Linked DNA regions of Oryzias latipes. The protein of the gene in region 3 binds, or shares a complex with, the protein of the main gene of each other region. Links are inferred from orthologs where the notes say so. Each region holds a gene or a part of one and is shown on either strand. Other genes may lie near its edges.

Region 1 (4,412 bases), about 20 Mb from region 3:
TTGAATAATACAATGGCTAATTTAAAATCAGTGTGCAGGTTTTTCACAATTTCATGATCTTTTTATATATTTATGAGAGATTTATTGGTTGATTGTGTTTGTTCATGAGGCCATATTTATTTATTGAATTAAATATTTATTTATTTAATTATGAACAGTATAGGACTCCATAGATTTTATGCAGATGTCAGATAAAAAAGATGGTTAAAGGTTTAATCGATTGTCTGAGGTGTTATAATTGGAATAGTTTTAAAATACATATTCTTATCTTCAGCAGCACAGTAGTGTCTTCTTGCTGCTTATAGGCAAAGTTACTAAAAGTATATACCTGCAAGTAAATCTGCTGCAGCGAGGATCTCATTTGACACAAGGCGTATTTTATTTTGAAAGGAACATGTATGAGCTGCTGTCAAAAGTAGAAGCTAAAGTTGTTATCAATAGAAAATGTTAACAGAAAGTATTATATAAAGGCTACATTTTTTAAGTGAATGGTTTAATAGTCACACAATCATAAATAAAATGTACTTTTCTGAATAATAAAGTGACTTTTTCGCTCTTGCTGCGTTTTGGTCACTAGGAAACAAACCCAAGTGGCTATTTTGGCATAAAAGGTTGTAAACCCCTGTTTTAGAGCATCACAAAACTTTATGTATGTCAAAATAAAGTTCTTTTATTCTTTTGTTAAACATGTTGTTTAAGGTAACTTATTACAACTGCATAGAGTTGTTTCAAAAAGAAAAAAGTGAAGAGCACTGGTGTGAACTTTATTCTTTTATTGGACATTTATAAATTCACTTTCAAATCTTTTAAATTAACCAATCAGGGCATTTTTTAGCACTTTTGAGGCAGAAAGAAGAAAAGCTCACCGACACAGGATGAATGACATAAATACTATTTATTGAATCCACCAATAAAACCATTAAATACCAGAAAGTCTGGACAATTCTATAAGAGATAAACTTGACAGAATGACGCCTTACCACAGCAGCAGTCGTAAATAGCTTAAACAGACTAGAAGGGAAGAGAGGAAGATCTCATGCAATAGAGAAAGACTGCAGATCAGGCGACCAGGAGCCCCGGCGACCAGGAGCCCCGGCGACCAGGAGCCCCGGCGACCAGGAGCCCCGGCGACCAGGAGCCCCGGCGACCAGGAGCCCCGGCGACCAGGAGCCCCGGCGACCAGGAGCCCCGGCGACCAGGAGCCCCGGCGACCAGGAGCCCCGGCGACCAGGAGCCCCGGCGACCAGGAGCCCCGGCGACCAGGAGCCCCGGCGACCAGGAGGCCCGGCGACCAGGAGCCCCGGCGACCAGGAGGCCCGGCGACCAGGAGGCCCGGCGACCAGGAGGCCCGGCGACCAGGAGGCCCGGCGACCAGGAGGCCCGGCGACCAGGAGGCCCGGAGGCCCAGCTTTATCAGAGACGCACGTACAGAAGAAACTAAACACATACAAACATTTCTTCTGTAATATTTTACCATTAATTTCTATGTAAATTATCTGCTCAAACTGACAAAAATATTAATTGATTTGATGCAAAAAATAAACCATTACATTTTTCAAGAAACACTTTGATTAAGACACTGATTAGTTATGGAACCTGGAGAAAATGTCAGCTATTTACAGTTAAGTAGAAGCATAAATCAATGCTGCGGGACGAGAAACACAAACTTGCATCCTGGGAGTAAGAATACGTTGAAATTGACTTTTTCCAGCAGTGACTGGCATGACTAGACCAGAAGGGGGCGAAAGGCACATGATCTAAATGGCTTCTCTCAGCTGATAGGCTGGAAAAGCCTCTCATCATCCTCATGCTGGCTTTGGTTTTACTACATGAAGCCGCAAAGGAAGGGCTTCGTGTTGTAACATGAACGGCAGAGGGACCGGCAGAGAAAGAAAAATCAAAGAAAACAGCAATGAAGAACCATACCAAATTGTACAACCTTGTGTAAACATCTCATCCAATGACAAAACACTTCTGCACGATTCTGCCTTTCAGCGCTTTCAGCCCTGAATGCACCACTGACCCCTTCAAAAGGTTGGAAAAGTACCATCTGAGTGTAACAAACTCCAGGGCTTTGTTTCTGTAGCCACGTTTCCAAAAACGATGAGCAGAGAGAAAAAAGTAGTGGATTTTGGATAAAACAAACATGACTGATATAACTGGTAACATTTACTTCTAATGTGCGATTCAGCCCAGCGTCAGATATATTTATCAATTTAATACAGATCAACTTGTACAGAAGTTTGTAACAGAAAAAATAAAATAAAATAGTCTTAGATAATTGGACATTGCATGCAATATTGACGTGGCCAACAGGAGGCGTTTCACTTCTATAAATAACTAGGAGACGCTCCTTTATCACATGATGAAGGTGACAAGCAGCTGATATCAAAGAAGAACCGGATTAAGAGGAAACTAAAGTGTCAAATATTTCTTCATAGGAGAGTAATTTTCAAGAGTCTGTACATTACAGTGTGCAACTGGGATGTGTGTGCTTCATCCATGTATCAGCTATCCGAGTGTTGCTGTGGGCTCAGGGTTTGGTGGTGGGGGTGACGATGGGAGGCACGGGGTTTCCGGTGGGAATGACGCCGGTGGCCAGCAGCACGATGATGAGGATGATGACGAGGACGATGACCACCAGCACCACCACCAGCTTGACGTTCTTCCACCAGTAAGAGCGGGCGACTTTCTGTGCCGTGTGCTTGAAGTGCTGAGCCTGTGCGAGGGAGGGGGGAGAAGAGAAGAAAGCCAGTCAGGAGGGGAATGCTTCTGATGGATCGGGTACAAGACCTCAAACTAGGGTGGTGGGGTCATGTGACAGATGGAAGACAGCAGCTAAAAGAAGGAACGACTCATGCATGGAGATCACTTTGACGAACAGGCACCATCAATATTCTAGGATTAAACTAAAGAAATAACATCAGATTCCTGAGAGAATTTACTGCTAGAGAGGAAAATAAGCAACTACTTTCCCAATTCCAGTCTCAAGCTACGTATACATCTTAAGCCCTTGGTGTTCACACTGGACTAGCGAACCTGTGCTGTTTACCAGCACATGTCCACCACCTATAGTTAGCAGAATTCTTTCACAGTTTCATTCCAATATATAAAAGACTTGAAGTCAAAGAATTCCATCTGGGCACAAATCACAGTTATTCATTTCTCCTCCATGCTCAATGTTCAAATGGTTGACACTTCCTTGAATGACAAAGATGTCTTCCATTCGCCTCTACCAAATCTGACTCCCTGATTGGTCAAAGTTCAGCCTGGTTTAACCCTTTAACCCTTCACGTAGCAATCTAGTCAGAAGTGAGGTGCATCTAATGTTCTCATTTCGAACAGTCAGGCTAAACGCGGGGAGCGTCCACTTATCACTTGACCAGCGCTAACCGGCTCCCTACGCAGTGCGCATGGTTTGAGGAGATTGAAATATCGTCAAGGGTAGTGACTAATGCTGCGTTCACACCGAACGCGAAACTCCCGTCTGCTGCCTGCTGTTTGACAAACGGCAAATCCTCTGCTTCACGCTTAGACTTGGTGCTCCCGATGCATGTGGGAGGAGCTACCGTCAAACCTTTTTAGCCTCATCAATACATGGAAGCCTTGACTGCTTATCTACAAACCCCAAATGCAGCAAATGCTTGGAAGACACGGACATGTTGAGAGGTCAAGTTATTCTTTATGAAGGGTTCTACAAAAGCACCAATAATCACGTCTGCATGTCTGGATTCATGATATTCACAGACTCTCCCAATTTGATGCAAATCTACCTTAAGGCTCGTCAGTAAGGCTAATTTATTATATCAACTACCTCATGAAGTTTTGTTTATAATAAAAAAAAAATGTAGCAGAACATGCATCAGCTTAGCTTGAAGTCTTTCTACAGCAGACAAGTTCATAGATCACTAGAAAAACATCCCAGCCTCACAAAAAGACTAATGACTGAATGTTATTATTTGCACCTATATTTATAGCTGATTGAAATGGACACACAGTGAAATGAGAAACGGGCGAAGCCATCAGCTCCACCTGTGCTGTACCTGCTTCAGTAAAATCAAAGCTTTCAAGGTGAGGAGCCCAGTGTACCCGTGTGGTGAGACGTCTGAGGCGGAGACACTTTTTCTTACAGTTTTTCTCCATTGGTTTGGCTCAGTTCTTGAAACAGAAATTACATTCTCCAAACAACATGGACAAACATCCAAACCACTTTCTCATTGGTTTCCTCAAATTGCAAATGTCTTAGTACAAGTCTAAATGTCTCCGTACATCTTTCAATTGATTAAGTACAGGTAGCCTTTATTTAGCACAATTGTCAAGTGAATAGATCTTTTTGATCTAAACTGATTGTTGATTCTCAGTCTAATGGTTGTTCACTCCAAAATCAGTCCGCGTCATTTCATTGTGTAACT
Region 2 (5,270 bases), on a different chromosome or scaffold from region 3:
TCCTCCCCCTCAGTCTGCAAGTCTGGGAGTCCCCTGAGAGTGGACAGAACACACACAGACACAGACTCACAACATGTGCTAGTACCTGGGGAAATCCCCTGTAACTGGGACTGTGCTTTTTGCTGTGGCCCCTCGTGTGGAGCATCCGCTGGGGGAAAAGAGTGTGTGGGGGTTGGCCTAAATGTCAAAGGTAAAAAGTGCTGAAGAAGATAAGTGGAAACATGGGACAGGCCCACTCACACAGAGTGATCTCAGACTAAAGGAGGGGGAACCCCGATTCTCTGTCTTCCTCGGTCTTCCTAAGTCAACACAGGCAAAAATATCTCACTTAATGAAATGTTCCACGGGAGTGATCAGCCACAGAGTAAACTGTGAGGCATGTTTGCTTTGAGTTTTTTTTCATAAAAATTACCTGGAGCTTTACATTGCTTGGTTTGTTTTTTTTTTTTACTGTCTGGTTGTCATGATAATGTCACATTTTAAAATGTCCCACAGTTTCATTTGTCATTTTCACATTTCATGTATCATAGGGCAACGATCCGCAGTTCGGAAATATTGTGTAAAACACTAAATGCAAAGACCCCACCCACCTCTGGCACCAAATGTTACCTAGCCACAAAACTTCTTGTACAATGAACTCTGTACATTTCTATAACTTTCCAAAAAATGTGTCAGGAAAGGTTTAAACATGTCTAATTAGGCAGCAGTGGCTCAGGTGGTTGAGTAGGTCGAGCAATGATCGAAGGAATTGGCGGTTCAATCCCCACTCTCCCAGTCAACTGTTGTTGTGTCCTTGGGCAGGAGACTTCACCTTCCCGCCTCTAGCGTGGCTCCACTGCTGTGTGAACGAGTATGAATGATGGTCAGAGGGGACGTGGGCACGTGTTCGTGTTGGCAGCAACACCTCTGTCAGTCCGCTACATTTGCAGCTTAACATCACCAAGTATGAATGAGGAGGGAATGATAAATAGATACACTGTGTAAGCATTTTGGGCGTCTGGAAAAGCACAGAAAAATTCAATCCATTATTATTAATTTTAACAGAGAGCATTATCACGCTTTTCCTAAAATAGCTGTAAATTTTTTAATATAGATAGATGTTGTCCTCAATATTACAACATCCATAATATTGCAGCTTTGTGAAAATAGCATATAATATGTTATAAAGATGAAAAATGTTTACAGACAAGCCAAGTTGTCCTTTCTGTGTGGATACATAATTGAGCCTATGGATTGAGGACAATTAGAGAAAATTGATTCTTAGCTTCTTCTTATTTTTTTGTAAAGGAAACTTTATTTTTAGGCATTGATAAAACAGCTTTCATAGTTGCTGCATAATTACAACACGGAATTTCTGTCCCCAATTTTTATATATATATATATATTGTTAATGCTCTCTTTTATATAATTATAAAAAACATATATATATATATATATATATATATATATATATATATATATATATATATATATATATATATATATATATATATATATATATATATATATATATATATATATTTATTTATTTATTTATTTATTTATTTATTTATTTATTTATTTATTTATATAAAAACTTTGAATTATTAGGGCACAGAAAGCTTTTACATTCTTAAATTTTTTCCCCCGAAGAAAATGAAAAGTTTTGAATGTGGGGAACAGATGTGTGCACTACTGCTGTTTGAGGTCGGAAACTTTTCGTAGATGCACTGGGAAGGATTTTGTTTACAAACAACTTGTCAGAAGAGCAAAAATCGACAAAGACCTTCAAACGTATTTCATTTATTTGCATAACTACATTTAAGATTTTTTGATGGGTCATTACGGTATTTAATAGATGAAAATCATATCGTCGACGGGTTTTGTTAATGGTAAGAAGAAGGAACCGCAATTATGTTAAGTTGCCTTACACAGCTGCTTGTTTTTTATTAATCTTATGACGTCATTTTTGCCTACATGCTACAGTATTGTTAATACTATAATACGTGATAGAAGCTTACTATTTTTTGTTGCCTTTTTGAATTGTCGGGTAAACTTTTCACGTACTGTGTGTCAGCAACTGTACTGTTAGTGAGTTAGCTGACGGTGATGCAATATCACTTCCTGTCTGAGACCAGCCCGAAGTAAACGGAGGTAATGGAATTATGTTTCGTTTATGAAAACATGTTTCGCTAAACGTAAAAATGTATTTTTAACTCGACCTGCACTAGGTGGGTCGCAAGCCGACATAATTCATAAAGACAACTATTGGGAAAGTGAGTTGTCAGAGTATCTCATGATTTCTAAACAAATGGACCTCTTCTTTATAAATTGGGTCTCGAACTATTCATATCATATGTATCTCAATAAATTCGAACATCTGGAATAATGGTTAATAAATTTTGCAGCCAATGAAAACCCATATTCAAATCTACATAAAATGTGAATATTTTTGAAAAGTTTCATATTAACCGCTGTGACTGTCACAGTCTTTATTGATAATTAATTTAAACACCTCAAAAGGTCTGTCAATCTAGATCAGTTGGTCATCTATCATTTGGAAGACTTTGAACTACACAGGTGTTCAGAAACTGATCACTGACACAGATCCTCTGCACAAGGAGATTCAAAGAGTGCTTTTTTCAAGCACACTGACTGTTAGTCAACTGGGGGAAAAAATGTTTAAAAAAAGATACGCAGATAAAATTTGGGAGGCATTCGGAAAGACTGGAAAGCTGCTAAAGTCAGTTCTTCACCAACTACGCACATCCAGGAAATGAGTTTGAACTACTGCATCTCTTGTGTCACACTACTCCTGAAACTGGAAAGTTATAGGTTTGGTATCCACAGTTGGGCCACACCAATGCCTAAAAATTGGGACCCAATGCCAATCAAGCTTGACGCTCAGCGTTTGATTCGACCCATCTTTGCAGTTCTACCTGACCTGTCAATTACAACTAATGTGACTTTAACTTTACCCAGACTATGGACAAAAAATGAAAGGTTGCTTACTGATTTAATTATATGTGTGAAATGAGAGGAACATTTATATCCATCCATTTACCTTCAAAACTTGCTGAATCCCTTTGGAAAGTCACAGGGTATTTATAGTTATTTTTTTCCAATGAATGTCTCAGAGTTTAGAAAAGGAAAGGCTCGAGATCAGAATCAGTTATTTAAGGTCTTAGAGTGTCTCCAGCCAGTGGTAGTTTGGGAAACATCAACAGCATTTTTGGTTCCTGCTACAAATCCTATGTATAAAATAGACCTACAGGAGTCACATAATATGACCAAACATACAAAAATGTGTATGTTCAACATTCAGCCTTTATTCTCTGTAACAGCTTTGACTTAGTTTTTGCTCAATGGATACAGGACAATGCCATGAGGAAAACCTCCCAAAGTTGAGTGTCAATGTCTCCACTATTATGCTTGTATCAACTCATTTATCCATTTGAATTGTACATTTACCAAAACCCTGCTCTCCTGGTATTTACAGTGTGTGGGCACGGTGAGAAAAAGCTGAGCAGGTGGAGAGTCTTGAGTTGCACAAAGGTGTTGGCTGTGGGCACTACGCAGCAGGACACATGGCAGAGGAAGGCAACAAGCTGACACTGAGGCGCCTGGAGGCTCCAATCCACAAGTTCATTAAAGTGGCTCTACCCACAGACCTGGAGCGGCTACAGAAACACCACAGTAACATACTTAAGGTGACGGCTGAAACCTGGTTGGACGTAGGATCACATCCAAAGCTCAGTTGTATAAGTGTTTGTTTTTTTCCCCCCCTTAATATTTACAGTACCAGCATAGCCAGCAATGGGATCGCCTCCATCAGGAGCATATTAATGCCAGCAGAACTGTTCAGGTACAACTAGTTTCTCTAAACTAATCAAAAACCGTATGTAAACATATGAAATAAAGGGTGGATGTTTACATTTTAAATTTCCCAGCATGCATGTCTGTACAGGTTTCCTGTTCATCTGTAAATTATCTTTGCCTTGAGATGACATTTTCTGATTTTCTTATGTTTTTCTCACTGAAAGATCAAAGGCTGGTGTCAGGCCAGCAAACTGGTACCTTTATCCATTAAGGTGCAAAAAGTATCCAAGAGAACAAATGAAGAGTCAATCATATGTCTTGGAAGTAATTTAAAGTCAAGACCGACACTCAAATGTCCTATAAAATATGTCACACAAGAAGAATCAAAATTAATGATGTTTGTCTGCAGTAAAATGCATTTGTCAAAAAATAAATGAATCAAGTAGTCCAGCGGTCTCAAAAGCTTTAGGATGTACCTTGTGCTGTTCATTAATAGGAGTTAGTCCAGCTGTCATGAACAGAGTTCAACAAAATATTTTAAGAATTAAATGCTAAAAGGTTTTAATTTAATCTCACATTTCACTCATTTTTAGAGTTACCCTACCATTTTTTCACATTTCCGTTTAGTTCAGGCACTTTTTTATTTTAAATTGAGGAGGAGTTTCCAACCATATAAATCTGTTGGGATGCAACCTTTTTGTGTAGAATTTAACTCAGTTATGCTTCGCAATTTCCAAGCTCATAAATGTATTTAATGTTCCATAAAATCGATCTCACTGTAGAAAACCTTTAGTTTGATATGGATATCTGTGCTCACAAATGCCCATATTCAAACATCAATTTGAATTGAATTGGACCACATTAACATGATTGCACTGGATCATTGAATGGTATTATTTTTAAGTTCATAAATCACTACACATAATGATGAACATGATGACAGACACACGCACACACATGCACACACACACACATTGCCTGTCAATGTGCTTGGGAAGTCAGAACATCCCAGAATTCTCAGTTCAAGTTCAAGATCATGCAGCAAATCTAAGCAGCTGTCATTTTTCTTTGTACTTTTAAAGCTTATGCAGACCTGATGCAAAGGAAGTGATACAACACTGAAAAGTACTTACAACAAAATTATAATAAAAGGATTTTACAAATATTTTTCAAACCAAAAAATGTATATATTTTTTAAATCTGGGCAGGAAAAAGCCTTTTTAAGCCTCAAAGATGTGTGTTTGTGTTTAAGTACTTGCATGCTTGTACACATGGTTGGTGTGAAACACCTCAGGGGATGTTGTTGCCTGGGAGCCACCGTGTTTCTGAACGTGAAATAACTCTAAACAGGCACACACCTATCCTCTCACCATCACCCCACAAACCTCAGGGGCGCACAGAGAGTGCTTTCTCATGTCTTCATGGTGTTAATCCAGAGTAGGGGTTTGTTGCCTCTACTTTAGTTGTGGCCG
Region 3 (4,278 bases):
CATCTCTTGCCCCAGTGGCTGATGGGCAACGACAGCAGTGTGTTCTGGGATTACAGTCAATGAAAAGGGGGGCATTCCAGCACTGGGGTGGGGGGCTTTTGTCACACCATGGCCACTGTTTGCTTTTGCCAAGACAGCTGTGTGGTGAAAGAATCCAGAGGTGACTGCCGTTTATCTGTGGAACCTTAACCTCAAGGTCTCTTCTTCACCAGTTTGAATAAAAACTACCCTGACCAATCATTATATTGACCCCATTTACATCCTACCTTCGGAGGTAAGATTTCAGAATATCGGGCATTCGTTGATTTACAGGTCACATTCAATGGTCGGAGGAGAACACAAATAAGCAGAGGAAAAAAATGCAGAATGTTGAGACAAAACATCACAAAAAAAACATTTTAAAGTAGCAAAGTGACCAAAACATGATAGGAAAAACAATCATTTTAACCAAAGAAGTGCAAAATATGAGAAAGAGCACGTAAATATAAAGAAATAATCACAAAAAGACATTATAATCCGCAATAAATAAGAAATTACCACGTGTCCAAATAGGATCTTTCATAAAGCACAGAATTCAGGCAAAAGAGTAACAAACAAATGGTCCACCAAAAAAGAAAATAATTTTTTGAACTAATTTTGTCTTTAAAAGGGTTTCAATTCATAAAAAGTATAATTTACTGTGCTTAGAAACTCTTTAAATAGCAAGTTACTATGCTTATCCATCACACGTGTAACAGAAAAACCATTAGGCATAACAAAAAGCGTACTCGTGTAGACATGCCCGGGGGGCCTCAAGGGGCCCCTGGTAGCGGGTACCCCCATCTTCCTTTCTGTCGCGCCCCCAACTCAAATGTCCTTCAAAGAAGCCTGAACTGTAATTACCAAGTCATGCTAAAGACTGCTTGTTGCGGCTGCATGAGCAGCTGGTTTGACGCAGAGGAATGATAATGAATGGACATCATCTCTGCGTGAGGACATGAGCAGAAGGCGCTCATCACACTAAACGCTCACACATCATCGGATGCTCATTTGACTAAAAACAAAAAGCAGCACAGATGTTGGTTTGAAATATGCCCCTTGATATTACAATTACCGGTATTAATAGTTAAAACACATTTGTTTCCTTCTAATAATTTTCTTCTAATTTTGCGTTTTATACTATAATTATTGGGGAAATTTGCCATTTAATATAAATAATACCAAACCAGGATTTTTACGATGGTCATTTAGTTTTTAATCCTGAACCACAGTGCCACCTAGTGGTAATTTGACCTCACTAATCCATCAACACAAAAGTTTTTTTTAACTTTAGTCAAAAAAGTATTCGCAGAACACATGGAAGTTCCTTGATTAAGCTTTTATTGGATATCTGTGCTTGATTACACACAAACATGAACTTATGTAGGAATTTTGGCCAATTTAGTACTGTGATTTATTTGTCTGAAGAAAAAAAGAAAAGAAAAATCAGAGAAATAATCATTGTATTCCAATGGTGCAAGTTTTCCTTCATCTCTTATGTTTACAATCAAAACTAAAATATTTGAGATATTTATTTGATATTTAAGAGGTGTTTTATAGAACAATTTATCAAATGAAATGTAACTGTGAATCAAAACCAAAGAAAGTACGTGTAAGGCAAACGTGACTTGAGCTTGTTTACTGCTTGTTTTTCTTTTTATACATCAACTGGGGTCAGATCCGGATCTGTCCTTACATCAGGAACATCTTTAAAAAATTAAATAACAACAAGTCTTTTTTTTCAACAGATGGTTTCCTTTTTATCTGTAAAATATTTCACATTTTATTTTGAATGACAAAAACTTGGTGATGAAGAAAATCTATTGTAAAAATTAAAAAAAGGAGTGAAAGAAGATTTTCCAAAGACAAAAAAAAAAAGACAGTAAATTGAACTGAAATGAAGGGTCAGACGTGGAAATGTCAGAGTGTGGGTCCTACAGCTTTTTAAGCTGTTGGTTTGTGTTACTGATCTTCCCATCCATCATGTCCACTTTGCTTAGAAGTGAACCAATAGAGTCGTCCTGGCTGTCAATTTCCGACTGGAGTCCAAGTCCGAGGTTCTTCAGTCTTTGCAAGCCTCCACACATTTCATCTAAATCAATCACAGCAGATGTGGTTAAAGAAGTCACATTTCAACCACATTTTTTTCAACAAAAAAACTGAACATATCCCACAATTCATCACTGTGTAAAATCACTTTTAACCCCCATTACCTCATTACATTTACTTTAAGACTATATGACAAATATATCAATTTTGGGGTAAATTTAGCCTTTTTATTCTTTGCAGCGTTTACCCTGTTTAGTAAGGTTTGCAGTCATTTGCTAATACGAACATCTCTTAAGGTGGACTGTTTGAATGTGCACATATAACACTTGTGTAAATGGCATATACCATGCTATTTTTAAGACTTTAATAGTAAACAATATCCCACGAATATGATAATATTTTACCTTTGGCACACAAAATAACAATTTTTTTTTTATTAAATACGAGTTATTTTCGCAAGTTAATTTTCCAAGTTGGAAGTAAATTGACTCAGTCTCTGAGGCACCACCTTTCGCTCCTTGTGGGTGCCGCAAATTTCATGACATCAACCTATAGTCGGCCTCGCTAGCGTGTCTGCATTTCTCCAGACTCCTCCTGTAAGGTGCAGCTCTCACTGGTCTTCGTCAGCTTGTGATAACCCACTCGTTTTTGTGGATAAGGAGGGGCTGGTGCTCAGAGAAACGTTTTTTAGAGGAATACTTAGAAATGCTTGAATGGATCAGAATACCGGTTTGGGGTTTCTTTTCATAAGGAATGAACATTATAATATACTTAAAGCTCAAAAAATAGATTTTGCATAGGCCTCTCAAAAAATCATGCAGCAACAGCTGCTTGTTTGGGTGCAGTGTTGTCTGAAAGAAACTCTGACTACAAAGTGTGTTATGTTGCATTCATAGTGTAATGAACCACACCAGGGTTCCCTTGCAAATGAGACCAGCCAGGCCCTTTCAGGCAGACCACATCGTGTTGATCAAGCATTCTTATTTAAAAGGAAGTTTAAATGTCATTTTAAGAAATTACTCAACCCTATAACCGAAATACAAAGTGTCCTGTTAGATTTCTTACCCAAGTTTTTGTCAAGGGTCTGATGAGCCTCTCTGAGGTGTTGGTTCTTAGGGTATCCATTCTGTCTAGGTAAACCCCCATCTACTGAGGAAGAAGCTCCAAAACCTGGAAGCGAAGATCACAAGTATGTAGGATGTACTGTGACACGTTTGAACATTGACATTTTCATGTTCATCCTTACCTGATGTTTCCAGTTTCCTCAGGTTGGGGTGGCTGGCTTGATACTTGTCTTCATATTCTCTGCTGTTGGACAGAGCGCTCTGTAACCTAAAAAATAACCCACAGAAAAAGTATTCATGTATATAATTCAAAACCGTTCATATAGACAGTAGAAAATAGTATCATATCATAGTAGGAGGTATTTTATCTGACCTAGCATTGGCTCACATTTATGGAGAGCTTGCATTTTTGCATACTAGCTCAAGGTGACTGTTTTTGTGACTTTATTGTTGTTTATTGTTATATTTTACATCCATCCAGAGTATATGACTGCTTTGTAAACAGTTGTGAGAGGCGGTTTGTTTGATAATGTTTCTGTTGGGCTCTCTACATGGATTCGTCTGTAGCTGTGCTGATATTTAAGGACGTGTGTAGGAAGAAGTGAAAGCACCTTCCTTAAAGAACAGACAAGATGTACAGAGTAAAAATAAAACAAGTCCACTCTGGCTTTTGAAAATGTTTTGTGCATTCTGGTGTAATGAACAAATATGGTAAGTTTTCCAAAAGCAGATTCGGTTTAATCAAATGTAGTCTTGGTAACACAGTGTACAAAATAAAATGCCCTTGAGCAAGGCTCTTAACTCCTACTCAGAGCTCCCAGGAGCAACAGTAGTTTCACTTTGCAGCTCCCAGGTGTCAATGTGAAACTGTTTCAATGTGAAACTATCAGTGTGAATAAAACATTCTAAAAAAAGTGGGCTGCCTTTCAGATAACTTTTTTTTTATTCAAAAGTTTCTTTAAAAAATTAAGAAATTGAAAAAAAATTAAATGTATTTTTAATTAGTTAACTTTACAAAACAATATTTTTTTATTCGAAATATAAAGCTTTTTTTGTAAGCATTTTTTTTCAGAATTGTCAATCTTTTCCCCCCAAAACTGATTTAAGACTTTTAAAAACAGACTAAAATTTGAGACAGAGATCACTC

Evidence for each region.
Region 1: the proteins of snap29 (region 3) and vesicle-associated membrane protein 8-like are in contact, whole or in part, in a crystal structure (PDB 4WY4), measured with the Homo sapiens proteins. The link is inferred for Oryzias latipes from reciprocal best matches to the Homo sapiens genes SNAP29 and VAMP8. Residues at the interface, in NP_004773.1 of Homo sapiens: Leu206, Leu209, Ser210, Leu213, Leu216, Lys217, Ala220, Leu221, Met223, Gln224, Ile227, Glu228, Gln230, Asp231, Leu234, Leu237, Thr238, Val241, Asp242, Leu244, Asp245, Ile248, Lys249, Thr251, Glu252, Val255, Arg256, Leu258; in NP_003752.2 of Homo sapiens: Leu16, Glu19, Val20, Val23, Ile26, Met27, Gln29, Asn30, Arg33, Ile34, Arg37, Asn40, Leu41, Leu44, Lys47, Thr48, Asp50, Leu51, Thr54, Ser55, His57, Phe58, Thr61, Ser62, Val65, Lys68, Phe69.
Region 2: the proteins of snap29 (region 3) and stx17 are in contact, whole or in part, in a crystal structure (PDB 4WY4), measured with the Homo sapiens proteins. The link is inferred for Oryzias latipes from reciprocal best matches to the Homo sapiens genes SNAP29 and STX17. Residues at the interface, in NP_004773.1 of Homo sapiens: Arg52, Thr56, Ser59, Thr60, Arg62, Ser63, Leu66, Glu69, Ser70, Val73, Gly74, Ser77, Glu80, Leu81, Gln84, Val87, Leu88, Thr91, Met94, Val95, Lys97, Met98, Asp101, Leu102, Ile104, Ser105, His108, Ile109, Ser111, Ile112; in NP_060389.2 of Homo sapiens: Glu170, Trp172, Glu173, Leu175, Glu176, Leu179, Ile180, Ser183, Val186, Thr187, Phe189, Ser190, Val193, Asn194, Gln196, Gln197, Ile200, Ile203, Ala204, Val207, Asn208, Ala210, Ala211, Val214, Glu215, Thr218, Leu221, Gly222, Ala224, Ala225.

The regions. Positions count from the first base shown.
Region 1 is NC_019867.2:25,800,546-25,804,957, forward strand, and holds the end of vesicle-associated membrane protein 8-like, read right to left. Parts: intron 2,720-4,412; coding exon 2,534-2,719; 3' UTR 877-2,533; downstream 1-876. UniProt on the Homo sapiens protein: SNAREs, soluble N-ethylmaleimide-sensitive factor-attachment protein receptors, are essential proteins for fusion of cellular membranes.
Region 2 is NC_019874.2:17,622,996-17,628,265, forward strand, and holds the start of stx17 (syntaxin-17), read left to right. Parts: upstream 1-1,684; 5' UTR 1,685-2,133; intron 2,134-3,478; 5' UTR 3,479-3,566; coding exon 3,567-3,689; intron 3,690-3,778; coding exon 3,779-3,844; intron 3,845-5,270. UniProt on the Homo sapiens protein: SNAREs, soluble N-ethylmaleimide-sensitive factor-attachment protein receptors, are essential proteins for fusion of cellular membranes.
Region 3 is NC_019867.2:6,082,948-6,087,225, reverse strand, and holds the end of snap29 (synaptosomal-associated protein 29), read right to left. Parts: intron 3,400-4,278; coding exon 3,314-3,399; intron 3,238-3,313; coding exon 3,133-3,237; intron 2,111-3,132; coding exon 1,953-2,110; 3' UTR 1,343-1,952; downstream 1-1,342. UniProt on the Homo sapiens protein: SNAREs, soluble N-ethylmaleimide-sensitive factor-attachment protein receptors, are essential proteins for fusion of cellular membranes.